Daphnia pulex: one gene and its partner. The protein of the gene in region 1 purifies or fractionates together with the protein of each later gene. This does not show direct contact. Links are inferred from orthologs where the notes say so. Each region holds a gene or a part of one and is shown in the gene's direction. Other genes may lie near its edges.

Region 1 (10,720 bases):
AAAGTCGAAGCAGCGAAAGAAATGAAAGGCCAAGAACCTCAAACGTTCGGTGAGAAGTTTAAACCCAAAGAAGGATCCTGGGAATGCCAGGGCTGCCTCTTGCGCAACGACCCTAGTGTGATGAAGTGTCCATCTTGTGAGACTAGCAAACCTGGAGAGCCTAACAAAACCGAACAGCCTGCCACCAAACCTCAACAACCTGTAACTGCATCCTTCGCTGGATTGTTTAAGCCCAAAGAAGGATCTTGGGAATGCAAGGGCTGTTTTTCACGCAATGATGCTGCTATGGTAAAGTGTCCTTGCTGTGAAACCATTAAACCTGGAGAAACTGCTCCCGCTACTACACAGAGTTTACCTACCGCTACCACTCCAGCAGCTCCTTCCTTCAAGTTTGGTTCGGAAGGAGGCTTTAAATTTGGAACGCCCGCCTCTAGTACTTTATCTTCGTTTGGCGCGAATTCATCATTCTCTTCCAGCACTACTACTGGATTTGGCAATGGCTTCAGTTTCTCCATGGGCACGCCTTCTGCTGCGAGCCCAGCACGCCCAGCGACGCTGACTGCTCGTTCACCGAACGTTTCAGTCAGCAGCGACAACGAGTACTATGATGAAGGTGAGAGTGACAACATTCACTTTGAACCCATCATTCCATTGCCAGAGAAAATTCAAGTCAAGACTGGAGAAGAAGACGAGGAAGTTGTTTACTGCCATCGCGCTAAACTTTTCCGATTGGTTGATAATGAATGGAAGGAGCGAGGCCTGGGTGATGTAAAAATCTTGCGACAAAAAGACACTGGAAAAACTAGGTAAGCTTATCAGTTGTATTTCATTATAATTTATTAACCTTTTTCATTCATTTGTTTTTATTGTTTTATTCTAGACTATTAATGCGACGAGAACAAATTTTTAAGATTTGTCTAAATCACGCTCTCACTCCTGATCTGACTTTCAAACCCAAAGACGAGAAATCTTGGATATGGAAAGCTAAAGACTTTACTGACGGTGAAGAGAAAGAAGAGACTTTCGCCATAAGATTTCGTGACGCAGAAACCTGCAAAGCTTTCATGGATGCTGTGAATGAGACTAAGGTAATCGTGCACTAATTGCAAATTAATTAGCTCGAAATTAATCTTTTCTGCGCTCTAGGTTTCCCCTTCATCAGCGTCTGTCGCCAGCACGCCAGCTGCAACAGGAGGTACTTTCAAATACAGTTTTGTTATTGTCTTAAAGAGTTACTAAATTTTAATATTTCTTCCACGAAATAGCAGATGAAGTACAACTTGTCTACGCCAAGGAAGCCACAGAGGAACAGAAGCGTAAAGCCAAGGAGCTCAAGCTCCCCCTTAACTTTTTCTTGTACGAAGATGCTCCGCCGTGTCCAGGTTGTCGTGGTTGTGAACCTGAAGACAAGAGTGTAACCACGAAACCTGACGTCATTACTAAGCCCAATAATGTCGCCAAACCCGAGACTCCTTCCAACGCAATTTCGTTTGCCAAGATGATTGATGCCTCCGCCTCACAGCTATCTTTCTCGTCACTAGTCTCTTCAACTGGCAGTGGCTTCAACAAGCCAGCCGCGTTTTCCTGGTCTGGAACTGGTCAACCTATTTTTGGGGTAAAATTTAATTTTGATTTCACTTTCATGAAGTGATTTATGAATTTTTTAAATTTATTATTTCTTTAGATGGGTAGTCCAGCGACGCCGCAAGAAGATAAAACCAACCATGGTGAAGACGATAACGACGAAGTTCCTGAAAGCAACGATCCTCACTTTGAACCAATTATTCCTCTGCCGGCGTTGGTTGAGGTGAAAACTGGTGAGGAGGATGAAGAAGTCATTTTCTCTCACCGCGCAAAATTATACCGATACGTGGCAGAAAGTAAGGAATGGAAGGAGAAAGGAGTCGGAGATATAAAAATCCTTTATAACAAGGACAAAAATACCTACCGAATTCTGTTGAGAAGGTATTTTCATAATTTTTTCCCGTGATACCTGACTTGAAGAAAGTAACGAATTTGTTTGTTTTAGGGACCAAATTCACAAACTGGCATGTAATCATTGGATCACTGATGATATGAGTTTGAAACCCATGTCTACTTCTACTACTGCTTGGACCTGGTTTGCAATGGATTTTTCACAGGGCGAGTTAATCTCCGAATCATTTGCAGTTCGTTTTAAGACAGACGATCAGGCAACTCTCTTTAAAACTAAGTTTGAGGAATGCCAAACTGCGTTAAGGAAGAACACGACCGCAGTAAAGCCAACGTTGGCCGAGTCAAACATTGTTTCAACTCTAGCTGTGACTCACAAAGAAGGTTCTTGGGAATGCCAAGGATGCTTTACGCGTAATGATGCTACTGTGCTAAAATGCCCTTGCTGTGAAGCCATGAAACCTGGAGAGACTCTACCTACTGTTACTCCTCAACCGGAAGTGACAGGTGCAACAAAGAACGCTGAAGAAGAAGAGGAGGAAGAAGGTGAAGATGAAGAAACAGTTGAAGAAGATCAAGATGAAGAAGAATATGAAGATTTGGAGGAGTCCATTATGTTCGAGAAGCGCTGCACACTCTCGTCCCTGGAAGGTGGTCAGACCGACAAGAAATGGGTGCTTTTAGGAACCGGCAATCTTAAAATTGTGTACGACGATGAGATGTTGTGTGCGAGGATCGTTGTCGAAGATGTAAATGAGCAGTTGCTCTGTGACAATGTCATTGCTATTGAGACTGAGCTAAAGGTATTTTATTATTTCTTTTATCCCTTTGTATAAAAAAGAACTGCATCCAACTTAATGATCTGATTTATAGGTTGATAACAAAGAGTGCGTATGGTCGGCAATCGATTATTCGTCTGAGGAATCTGTGCACAGGACTTTCCGTGCCCAGTTCAGCTCTACTGACGCTGCGCTTGAATTCCAATCGATGTTTGCCGAAGTAAGTCTTGACTGAGCTAGCAACTTCGTTTGATCGATATTTTAATAGTTGTTGTTGTTGTAGGCGAAGCAGTATGCAGAGAAATCTGATGTACACGACGAGCCTGATTTACACGCAGCCGGCTACGACCATAGCAATGACGATCACGGAGACTATGTCGAAGGCAAGTTTTAATGAACATCCGGAGAGAGGAGATAGATTTTTTCATCGTTAATAAATGTTCCGAGAGAGAGCTTAAGCACCTAAGCTTTTGCAGGTCAATCCATGCCATCTGAAGGAGCCGTCACGTCTTTCAAGCCGGCAGTACTTGTTCGTGCTTGTGATCCAAAATTAGCCCGAGCGCTATCAGATATTTTAAATGATGTGAATTAAATGTTTTCTGCCTATTTTTTGGTAGGTCAGGGGGATACCCCCCTTTTTGATATGACGTTTCTTTCAGTTGTCAATGATTGAACTCACTCGTTTTTTCACCCTCGATTGTACTTTTGCGGGCCTTTCCACAGTGTGATTAATTCGTAACAATAAATTGAGATGACCTGATACGGGCGTCTATTCTTTTCACAATCAAATTTTTCCTTTTTGTAGCAACAAACAAATTAACTATTGATAGACAGGATCACTCGGAACGCAGCGGACTAGAAAAATGACAAGAATGATTTGAAAAGGTAGGAATATCGTAATGGCAATCCCAATTGCGGTTATTTTGGCGAAGAGGGCATCGACCGACTTCATCATGCTCGAGACACAATCCTGTAAAGTGAGAATTAAGTTTAAACTAAATTTAATGTAACTGATTAATAATAATATTTAATTACTTCTTGGTATATATTCTTCAGATAGGAAGTGTCGCATCCTGATTTAACGCAACAGGAATCAGGAATGAATGAATATCCTGCTACGCTGTTCCAGTCCTTGTAGCTATCAACGCCACAACACTGGAACTAAACCAAGCGCTTTATCACGTCAGCCGACTAATTTCCAAGTAAACTAATTTACCATTTGTTGGGTGATATCCATTCCAGTTTTCCCACTTCCGTCGGGATCGAAATACATCATTTCGCGCATAGACTCTCTAATGTCTTGCTTGACTTTAGTACCGAAATCAGGACCGAACGCCACCAAAAGTCCAACCATGGCAATGAACAACAGTACGAGGAAACCTGCATACTGTCAAGTGTCAACGTCTCTTTAATACGATTCACTACGGATACAGATAGGGAGAAAGAAAATTATTTTTATTTTACTCACTATGTAGTAAAAAACAGAACTGCCGTCAATAGTGAAACAACAGTTAAGCGTCGTCATAACGATCAGTATGACTCCTATGACAACAGCAAGACTTCCGATTTTCAATTCAGCCGAGAGTATGGATGTTAGCCGAGTAGATTCTTCAGCTAGTCCAAATCCAAGTAAACACATTCCGAGAACCTACCATGTTTCGTAATAATTACTTGTGTCACTCATTGATTGCAATGAGTTTTCGTAAATAATAAAGAATTAAGCGTACCAGTAATAGAACATTTATGAACAAATGTAGAAATGCACAAGCGAAACTGCATCTTCCGGTCTCCATATTGCTCACTGAAACTCTGGAACATGACAAACAATATCAGCCTACATTCACACATCTATCGACGTTTATGAGCGTAAGCTATTCTTCGAAATAAGTGACGAATTCCTTTTGACGCGCACATTTCGAACAAGGTTCGTTGATTTCTGATTTGATGAGGAACAATTCGAGCTACCCTTGGAAGCGGCCAAGAATTGTTTTATTTTATGCAACACGAAGGATCGCTCATGATTCATAATAACGAATTTTTTCTGAGCGTTATTTAAAGAATTATTACAACTTCTTAACTTATCCCATCTCAAAAATAAATTATGTAATATCTGCTTTTAGTAAGGTTTACTGTTTAGCACCACCTTTGTCGTCTGTGCACGTTGTTTTGAAATTGTTCGCACATGGTGCGTATATGTAAGATTTAGTTTTCAACTTAAAGAAATTGTACAAGTTAAACTTGTAGGATGACAGAAAATAAAAAAGAGATTGTGATTCCTCCATCTCCAAATTGGTATCTGAGTGGTGCTTTTGAATGTCACAAAAAGTCTGGAGTATTAGTTTATGCTGCTTCGCGATGCCTCGTCTTTGTGAAATCTTGTAATGTAGGAGATAATTTCAGTTATCCTACAACTAATGTCATCCCGGACGCCCACAGGAATAAAATTACTTGTTAGTTTAGCATAAACTTCCTTAGGTTCACTTTTCAATTAATCGGTTTTGTTTTCATATGAAGGTGTGTCTTGGTATCAGCCCTCAGAAGAGAATAATTTGTTGCTGAGTAGTGCTGGAGAAGATGGTTCTATTTGTATATGGAAATATAATGATTTGAGTCTTGTATTTGAACAAAATGCACATCAGGTAATATTTGTAAAACATATTGTCAAGCTACAAATCTAATTTGACATCTTTTTCTAGGAGCAAAAAATTTCTTGTCTAAGTTGGTCTTCTCTACTGGATAAGAAAATCTTGGCATCATCAAGTGAAGATGGGACCATCATAATAACAGAGCTACTATTGAGCTATGAGAGTTGCAGCACTCGGAAGCTCAATTATGGGAAAATAAACCCTCTTATGCTGTCATTCAATCCCCACATTCCATGGCAGCTGGCCATTGGCTGTAAAGGTGGATTGCTGTACATATGTGATGTTAGAGGTAATGATTCAGTACTTGCTCTAACATTATCATGATTTTTCATCACACATATCATTGATTTCATTTAGAAAACCGTGGTATAATTCATAAACTGCGAGCTCACGAAGATGTAATAAGTTTAACCAGTTTTGCGTTTTCCCATGAAGTGTCGTCATTAATTCACAACAAATTCTTTTAGGATCTACACAACATCGTTTGGTGCCCTTTGAAAGGAAATGTATTTATTTGTGAAAAAGAAAAGAAGGAAACATTCTTGGCGACTTCGGGCCGAGATAAAACTATTAAAATCTGGGCCACTAACGAAGGAAAATGTGTCAGCCAATCAAAACTTCCTGGCAATACTGGAGTCCATCGCCCTCGGTCTACTCAGGATGATAAACGTGCGACCTGGGTAGCCTTACATTGGCTAAACGAAAAACATATTTTGAGCAGTGGACTCAGTGGTGAACTTATCTTGTGGGAGGTCAGAATTTTAAGTTAAATTTTTATTTGCATGAATTTAATCAATTTGTTTTGCTGTAGGTTGGGCCCAAATTGTCTTGGAAGATCGTTCACAAGCTTCACAGCCGTGGACTCTTCAATATTTCTTCATACATGACTGGAGAAAACCAGGAAATGATTTGGACTTCGGCGCAGGATCGTAATGTTATTCTTTGGCCCATAGTGGAAGGCCACGTACCAAAAGAAGTGTTAGGCATTCAAGAAATGGAGAATCCGCATCTTTGTATGCCAACCATGGGTGGTTTCATCTACGTCATGAATATCAATCCCATCGATTCATCCCAAATGGCTGTGGGATTGGGAGACTGCTCCATCAGACTATGGAATATGGCAGCTGCGAAACCTGACATGATGATGCTGTGGAATGGAATCAAAGGTGATGAATATATAATCTACTTATGCAGTATAGAGAGTAAAATTGCAATTCAATCATAACAGGCAAAGTGAGTGGATTAGCGTGGCATCCGACAATAGAGGGCCGGTTGGCATTTGGAACCGATGAAGGACGCGTAGGAATATTTGACACACTGTCGCTAACTAAACCACCTCAATTGAGTCGCACTTACCACAAGGGTACCGTATACAATTTATCCTGGGCTACCCTGCCGTCTAAGGAAGGGATATTCCTCTACTCTTGTGGTGGGAACAACATTATGGTTCACGATCCATCAGCATTAGATACGGAAGCAAAAAATTTCAATAATTTGATCGCAAGCAAAGGAGAAAAAAATCAAAAGTTCCCTTCGCGTACGGAATTTCAATGGAAAGTGGACTTTTCTCTTCTAGCCGTAGGCAACGAAGACGGTTCTGTGGAAATCTATTCAGGCGGCGATTTATCTTTGCTAACGATTATCGTTGCGCATAAAAAACTTATTCAATGCCTTAAATGGCATCCGCCATTCACTTTCCAAAGTGTGGAACCTTCCAAATTTGAAAACTGGTTGGCAGTGGCTTCAAACGATGTGAACATCAAAGGTACGTGTAAATTTTAACTATCTTGACCCCTTTTGTTTTATTGACTGACTGACGCCTTTTTACTTTTGTTCCAGTTTTTAGCGTCGTCGTTGCCAACAACGACGAACCCGCAACATCCACACTTGCGGCTACTCTAAGCGGTCATAAAGAACGTGTGGTGTCGGTGGCTTGGAGCCCACATGAAGATGGAAAGCTTCTTTCTGCCAGTTATGATGGAACCGCACAGGTAAATCATTCTTAGACTTTTTAATTATACCCTTTTATTTTTACTTGCATTTGCAGGTTTGGGACGTGATCAACAAAGAGCAAGTGGCTAATTTTGGTGGCCATACCGGAAGATTGCTTTGTTGCGAATGGAACGCATTAGAACAGGATACGGCCGTTACAGGAGGAGACGACATGACTATTCGAATGTGGAAAGTTAAAGAACAAGTCTACAAGACACCTGCCGAATCTATTGCAGTCAAAACGTTGAAGGAACGAAAGAAAATACCATACAAACCCCCTCAATCTTCTTCTTTTGTTGGTCGCCATGCAACTTCAAGTGGCACAACTAAAAAGAAGCCACCGAGTAAGCTGAAATCATTGTTCCCGGTTAGCGCCACTCTTGAAGCCCGTGGCCGAATCGAGGGTTTGAAAGACTGCAAAATATTGGCTACCCTGAAAGGAGTGACTCTAAAACATTCCGTCATTGGCGAAGATCCGGAATCCTTTACATGTCCTGCCTCTGATTTCGGAGATGCCGAGTTGGCTCATCTGGGCTTTTTTGCTAGCCGGGATTCCACAGTTCAAATGCTCCAGGAGGAGATCGACCATCATCAAGAAGGTTCTAATTCAGATCTAGCAGCTCATTTGAGAATCTGGCAAGGAGATGTCGAATCGATGCTACGAGAAGCTGTAAAGAAAAGGCAGCTTAATGATTGGCTTGTTAGTTTGGCTCCTCAAGTCTCTTTGGAGTAAGTTGGCCATTTTTTAAATCACAAGATGAGACTCGACGATCATTAATTGGAGTATTGATCCGATAGGTTTTGGAGGGAAATGGCCCATCTGTACGCCCAGCAGCTGATGGCAGAAGGAGATGTCAGGAAAGCCGTGTCTTATACTCTCATTTCCGGCCAGAAGAGTCAGGCAATTGAAATGTTTTCCAGTCAGCAGTTACATCGTGAAGCCGTGGCTCTTACACGTTGCCAGTACCCCGACGAAAGTTCTCAAGTTCAAGAGAGTCTTTCTCGTTGGGCCAGCAAAGCTGTTTTAGATGGTAATCTCGAATTGGCAGTAAAATGTTTCCTGGCCAATGGCGAGGTAGCTGAAGCGGCTCGCACGTTGGCGCGACGATCAGATCCGTTGTCTCTGGTTTTGTCGGCTGACCTGGCTACAAGCGCCGGTCTGGATCAATTGGCTGCAGCCTATTTACAACAAGCTACGGACATTGCGCAGACTGCCACTGCGACTACTGAAAAACCTAGTCCTACACCGACGAATGGCGATGCCGCCGTTGCGGAAGTATCTCAAAGTATCGATCAAGCGGACAAGAACCAAGAAGTCGTCGCATTATCAACAGCAGCAGCAGCAGCGGAAGACGAGAAAACAGAAAATGACGAAATCATTCAAGAAAATGGGAGAGAATAAATGATGTATCTGGGAGTGTATTATTTGACGGTATTATTATTACAGTCTAATAATTAATTACATGGACGGCTTTGTTGAGCCCATATTATGCTGATAATCTCCTTTTATCTAAAGGCTTATTAATTAATTTGAATCTAGACGGTCACACAGGAGCTCCCCGTTGATCCGCACAATTAGCAGTTATTGTGAGTTTTGGTGATTTCCTTTTCTTCTTCGCCATTAACTAAAATGCAATAGAATTACCTGATTGCATGTGCGCATTATCTAGTTTACGATCATCAGTGTCGACCATCTTGTTGACGTGCTCCAACTAGAAAAAAAGACAACAAAAAAAAGGAGGTGGAACATATCTAAAAATGACATGCGTAAGCCATGGCTTTCCCGACCGATCAATACGCCGGCACCTCTCCAGTTTTCACAGATCAAACAGCCTTAGCATATAAAACCTCCCCTTCCTCCTTTCAGCTCCCCCCCCCCCTCCTCACCCTGACTTTGGTAGCAGTATAAAAAAAAATAAAAAAAGGAAGGATAAAGATTCTCGAGGCGAACCGGGATTCTTCTACATTCTACATGGTAATTCCATTAAAAGCCTAAATGAATAATTCACAAGCTTACATAGTAGTAGTATAGCTGTCGGGCATGAAACGGCTCGATATATACTTACATGAGCGTCAATTGCGCGAAACTGCCATCCCCACTTGGCGTTGTAAAGGAAGGGCCTATGGTCGAAGCGGTTATCATCGGGGCTGTACGTCTCGGCGTGGACGGAAGGCGTAATCACCGTCATTTTATGTCGGTTGATGGCGTAGCAGCGATAAAAATGTTTGACCTTGAAATTGAAACTCTTTTGGTACTAAATTTCCATTTTTTTTCTTTTTATAAAAGAGACATTGTATACTTTGTGTGCGATTTCAGCTGGTGTTCCTGCTCCCCTCCAGCTTTGAATTAGTCGACAGAAAGTGGTGTAAGGCCCACAGGCTGCCTGTTTACGAAGTCGCCCCAAGTCACCCAGCTCGGCGTAAGTTAAACCCATGTCTTCTTCGTCCGTCTGAACTAGACGACCTTCTTGCAAGGGCTCCAATTCGGCAGTCGGCGGAGCTGTCAGAATAGTGTCCAGGGAAGTTAGACAATATTCATTCCGGGCGTATGATAGGAATCGCTTCAAATCCCCTTTGGAGATTCCGCCGATGGGATTAACATCGGCACTGGAGCAATCGTATTTGGTGAGGTAGCCACGCAAAGATTCGTCGACATTGGCAGAACCAAGAACCAACAAACCACCCGATCTGCCCCTGGCCCACAACATCAACTGGGCCAGCAAGTAGCTCAACACCATCCTCATTCGGGCCTGGACGTTTTGCAGGGCAAGGTTTTCTCGCAAACTGCCGCCATCGACTCTGAACTTTGGTACGAGCCCCGTGACGACTGTGAAAATGTTGAGAGCGGCCGAGACAACAGCGTCGATAGCCAGGGTCAAATGATAGCTTATTGGGTGATAAGGAAAAATAATTTAGTGTCTGTTTTTTTGTTTGTGGTGTCAAGTTGGCCAATTAAAAAAAGGTCGTTTACCTTCCCAGCTGGTCAGACAAGTCCTTTGCCCGCTGTCGTGTCTCCGCCGATGAATTGGCGCTGCCCATGTAACAGGTGATGAAAATCCGGTTGCACAGTTCACGAGGATCGTCCGGGATGTAACTGGGATCGCCAACAATACGCCGGACATCGTCGATGGCGTGACTATCGCCATTTTGTACAGAAGTTACCACCATTCGACACATGGAGTAAACTAAAACAGCCGAGGAACTTGAATCGACACCTCCACTCAGAGGTAAGAAAAATCCACCCTGGCCAGACCGCCTTCAAGTAATTTGATGTTCGGTTTAAAAAAAAATGTCATCCTGTTGTTTGAAATGAATTTAAACCAACCTGAGATAGTCCCAGAGCCAGCCGGCAGGACCATAAGCAATCTCCTC
Region 2 (4,099 bases), on another chromosome or scaffold:
TCTTGAGCAAAGCCTATAGAAAATTCGAAAAATTGCACTGACAAATCCGCTGGGGCCGACATGTATTAGCAACTGGCGTTTTGGTGTAGCGGAATTGTGGATAATATATCCAAATTATTCAGTTTAGGAGGTTTTCCCATCTAGGTATCTCGGGCAATCTGCCTTAGTAGAACTATGGAAACATGTTCACAGATTGTATGGTTCCATTTTTGGGTTTATTTTTGTGGGCGGACCGGCGGAGTGCTTGCGGTCACGTGATGATGGAAACTCGATTCAGAATCATGTCGTGTGTATCAGACTTTGCCGCGTTTTGTTTGTTTATTTTTTTGCATGTGCTAACGATAAAAAGGCCTATCCTTAAGCTGAGTTAAGCATGAAGGACGAAACAGTATGAGTTTTTTGGCGCAAAAAATTTAGCTAACTAAAGTAAAATTTTGTTATGGTCTTAAAGTAGAGAGCTAGAGACACCGTCTCAACTTTCAGACGATAAATACATCAAGATTAAAGACATTCCTAATCCTAAGAAACCATTAATTTCAATTAATTCAATAATTGAATTCTACGCCATCAAGAGGCCAAATAATATCGAACAGTTTTTTTTTACTTTGTTTTGGTTTGTCTGCAAGTAGAAGTTGAAATCCAAGCTGATTTTTGAAAACCACAATAACATTAACCGAACTTAACCGCATCAGCAATGTATTTAAGAAAAGGCCGAAAAGGCTTTGTAAGAAAGAAAGGAACTAATTTATTTATTTACCAATATTTGGGACTTGGATGTAATTGAAAGATGCTGTACAACTTGAATCTTTTGAGATGCAGTAATGAAATAAATCTTACCGTATAAAATATGTTTACCATATATTAAACCTTGTCAAAAATGCACGTAGAAATTCCCCCTTAGTCTCATTTGAAACCTAATTATGTCTATTTTTATGTAGTATTTATAGTTTTTTTTCCTTAAAGAGCATTAATTTAAATGTTATAAGTTACCTACTACCTACTTACTAGACTCCACTTTCAAGAAATTTAATGAAAAATATCAGCGCCAAACCCATTAAAATCCAATAAGCAATAAGCAACAAGCAAACTAAAGGGCCGGGGGTCTAGTATTACGATTATAATATTTAAAACAATATAAAAAGTAAAAACTGATACAAATTGGTTGGGGCCAAAACGCTGTTTTTGACTGTAGTGACTATTTACTTTTATATATGTCTGATTCTGATCTGGTATTGATTCGTCTGCTTTTTTAAATTTAGTTTTATTTCTAGTTGCCAAATATATATTTTGTTGCTAGCCTATTTACGGCTCAAAAAAAATTTATGAAATTGGTCAGATAAATTAGAAATTACAAAATCCCGCTGTTTTTCCTAAAATCTCAATCCCATCTCATCCCACAATACCCGTTTTTTAAAACGGGTATTTTCAATTTTAAAAACTTGAAAATTTCAAAAGTGGGAAAATCCCACCAAAGACCAAAGTGGCAGCCCTGCCGAGCAATAGATAGACAGTAATGGACTAATGGCCGACAGCTAAGACGCTCGACCGAGAAGCTTTTTGAAAGGTCCATGCTCATTGAAATATTTGTGAAATGACGCAGTTTTTGCCTCCAAATCTTTTGGCTCTTTTTGCGCCACGCGATCCCCCTCCATTTTTACCACCACCTGATAAATTGACTCATGAAAAAAAAAGAACGCCATACATTGGTATAGCGCAGTATACAAATCTGTTTGAGGTTAGTATTTGATTCCATTAAAAATTAAAAATTGATATAGTAGTCAAGGTAAGTATTGCAATTTGATCTAATTTGATTGATTTGGGAAGTAATGTATGTCTTAATTTACTAATGCACGGGTCCCAATCCCAATTTATGGAACAGTTTTGGTTCATTTATTCATTCTCCTCTAGATGTGTCGATGAGAATCCCAAGTTTTCATGTGTGACATGTGAGATGCAAAATATTTTGTGAAAATGTTGTGAAAGTGTCTTAATTTTCTGGAAGCACAGTGTTTCCAGCTGAGCCTTTTATCAGGTTGACAATTTAATGTTAGCATATGTCTGAGGGGTGTAAAGTAGTCATTGTTTCACAAAGTTTTAAATGAGAGATGTGGAACGAAACATTGCATACTAGAAGCATTCTGATGAACTAAGTACTGAGCTTTCAAACATAACGAAATTTTTAATATCATTTTATATTCTTAACAGGATCCTAAAGATACACCCCCTCCTACGCGAGCAGAAACACGGGATGAACGGCGCGAAAGAAAACGTCGCGAAAAGGCAGAACAAGTTGCCTATAAACTTGAACAGGAAATTGCAATGTGTAAGTTCTAATTTTTGGTGTGTTTCTACAATTTCTTTTATCAATTTCCCTTTTCTCTGGCATTCATAGGGGATCCACACAGTAATGGTGTTTCTACCATGGACCCCTTCAAAACGCTGTTCGTTGCTCGCATTGTAAGTGTCAATACTCATACTATAATTTTTTTTTCTCATCACTTTTATTTTATTTCGAGCTTAATGAATAATGAGTGCTAAGTTATAACTAGTAATCCGCATGAATGAAACGATAATTCTTGAAACATTTTCTCTCAGAATTTTGATACTTCGGAATCTAAATTGCGCAGGGAGTTTGAAGTGTACGGAGTTGTTCGGAAGGTAACTTACAAGCACCATGTGAAATTTAATCACACGCTTACCACGCTTTTTAATGTTACAGATTGTGTTGGTGCATGACAAGAGGACTAGTAAGCCACGCGGTTATGCATTCATCGAGTATGAACATGAGCGAGACATGCATTGTAAGTATTTCTTTTCTATTATACCTAAGTCGTGTGGTAACTGAGGGTAGTGGGCTAATTAGTAAGGCCTGCGATAGCTTTCACTGTTCAATTAATCGTCGCACCACCAATTTGTATGATGATGAAAGGGGTGGGGGTGAGGTGGGGAAAATCTGTGATTGATTTGTACCTTAAAGTTTTCCTATATTTCATTTTGTCGTTTCCGGTCACAGTCGCGGCCTCCGACTATTTGGACGGTCATGTGGCCTTTGTCGCTTTTTGTCTCTTGATGCTAGGTTTGTATGGTCAATTGGTAAGGTTTCGTTTGGTTAAAGTTAAACCAAAATCCCTTTGAAATCGACTGCAGGTTCAAATTAGCTTCAAAGAAAGTATCTTTTCGTTTTCACCCTCCCTTCCCCTTGATGGTAGTAAGTATCCTGGTAAGTCGGTTACTAGGCTTTCTAGCGCCACTAAAAATTAGGGCCATTTCAATTCGATCAGATTCTTCGAGTGCTGCTGCGCGTTAAGAGGATTCACAGGTAAAGATGGGGACAGCTTGAAGAGGGAATGGATCTGCTTCTGTGATTGGCAACATTTGATCGCTTATTAATAGATCTGGATGTTACGTGAACATAGCCGTAATCTGGTAAACGGCCGTGGCGTTGGTTTTTTATGCATTTTCCAAGTGTTATGATTGGTCATACTTGAAATCATTGCATTTTTCGTTATTTGTTAATTCACGGTAAATATTTTTCGAAATTGCTGGGAGGGGTAGGTAATGGAGATCCTTCGGTAGGTGATATTAGGTTTGTGATACTAATTGTTGGAACTCTCCTTCTCCATGTTATACACGCTGAATTTTTCGTCTTCTCTGCCTGCTGTACTACCCGTATTTACGATTTGTTCGTTTTGCCGACGGCGCCGAAATACTGGTTTGTTGTTTTAAAATACCAGCTGCGTACAAACACGCCGACGGAAAGAAAATAGACGGCCGCAGAGTTCTTGTAGACGTAGAAAGGGCAAGGACTGTCAAAGGTAATTATTTTAATTAAATAAGTTTTATGTTTATAGTTTGCTGCCCTTTTTTTCGAAGGCAAATTTTAAAATTTGTTTTGAAAATCCATAGGTTTTTTATTTTGATTAATCAGTGTAAATAAGTGCACAAAATTTTTTTCTTCTTGTTAGATATTATAATCATGCCGCCATGGTTTCTAAGTACCTAAACTATTGCATTCCAGGTTGGCTTCCTCGCCGTTTGGGTGGAGGCTTGGGTGGGACTCGTCGTGGAGGACCAGATGTAAACGTAAAACATTCAGGAC

Evidence for each region.
Region 2: the proteins of gem-associated protein 5-like (region 1) and U1 small nuclear ribonucleoprotein 70 kDa-like purify together in Homo sapiens (affinity purification with mass spectrometry; 4 studies listed by BioGRID and IntAct, counting the BioPlex papers as one, with this or other methods). This does not show direct contact. The link is inferred for Daphnia pulex from reciprocal best matches to the Homo sapiens genes GEMIN5 and SNRNP70.

The regions. Positions count from the first base shown.
Region 1 is NC_060024.1:12,893,749-12,904,468, forward strand, and holds gem-associated protein 5-like, read left to right. Parts: upstream 1-4,829; 5' UTR 4,830-4,956; coding exon 4,957-5,161; intron 5,162-5,225; coding exon 5,226-5,350; intron 5,351-5,407; coding exon 5,408-5,645; intron 5,646-5,713; coding exon 5,714-5,754; intron 5,755-5,823; coding exon 5,824-6,108; intron 6,109-6,167; coding exon 6,168-6,522; intron 6,523-6,584; coding exon 6,585-7,121; intron 7,122-7,195; coding exon 7,196-7,347; intron 7,348-7,403; coding exon 7,404-8,077; intron 8,078-8,146; coding exon 8,147-8,750; 3' UTR 8,751-8,847; downstream 8,848-10,720. Other genes in the region: E3 SUMO-protein ligase RanBP2-like, read left to right, coding at 1-806, 881-1,088, 1,147-1,195, 1,266-1,615, 1,685-1,965, 2,030-2,735, 2,806-2,931, 2,995-3,094 and 1 more; CD63 antigen-like, read right to left, coding at 3,532-3,681, 3,747-3,872, 3,928-4,098, 4,180-4,359, 4,439-4,504; glutamine-dependent NAD(+) synthetase-like, read right to left, coding at 8,974-9,060, 9,415-9,579, 9,649-10,234, 10,320-10,604, 10,674-10,720. UniProt on the Homo sapiens protein: The SMN complex catalyzes the assembly of small nuclear ribonucleoproteins (snRNPs), the building blocks of the spliceosome, and thereby plays an important role in the splicing of cellular pre-mRNAs.
Region 2 is NC_060026.1:6,141,064-6,145,162, reverse strand, and holds the start of U1 small nuclear ribonucleoprotein 70 kDa-like, read left to right. Parts: upstream 1-1,299; 5' UTR 1,300-1,591; coding exon 1,592-1,735; intron 1,736-2,205; coding exon 2,206-2,323; intron 2,324-2,392; coding exon 2,393-2,457; intron 2,458-2,595; coding exon 2,596-2,658; intron 2,659-2,719; coding exon 2,720-2,801; intron 2,802-3,734; coding exon 3,735-3,815; intron 3,816-4,018; coding exon 4,019-4,099. UniProt on the Homo sapiens protein: Component of the spliceosomal U1 snRNP, which is essential for recognition of the pre-mRNA 5' splice-site and the subsequent assembly of the spliceosome. SNRNP70 binds to the loop I region of U1-snRNA.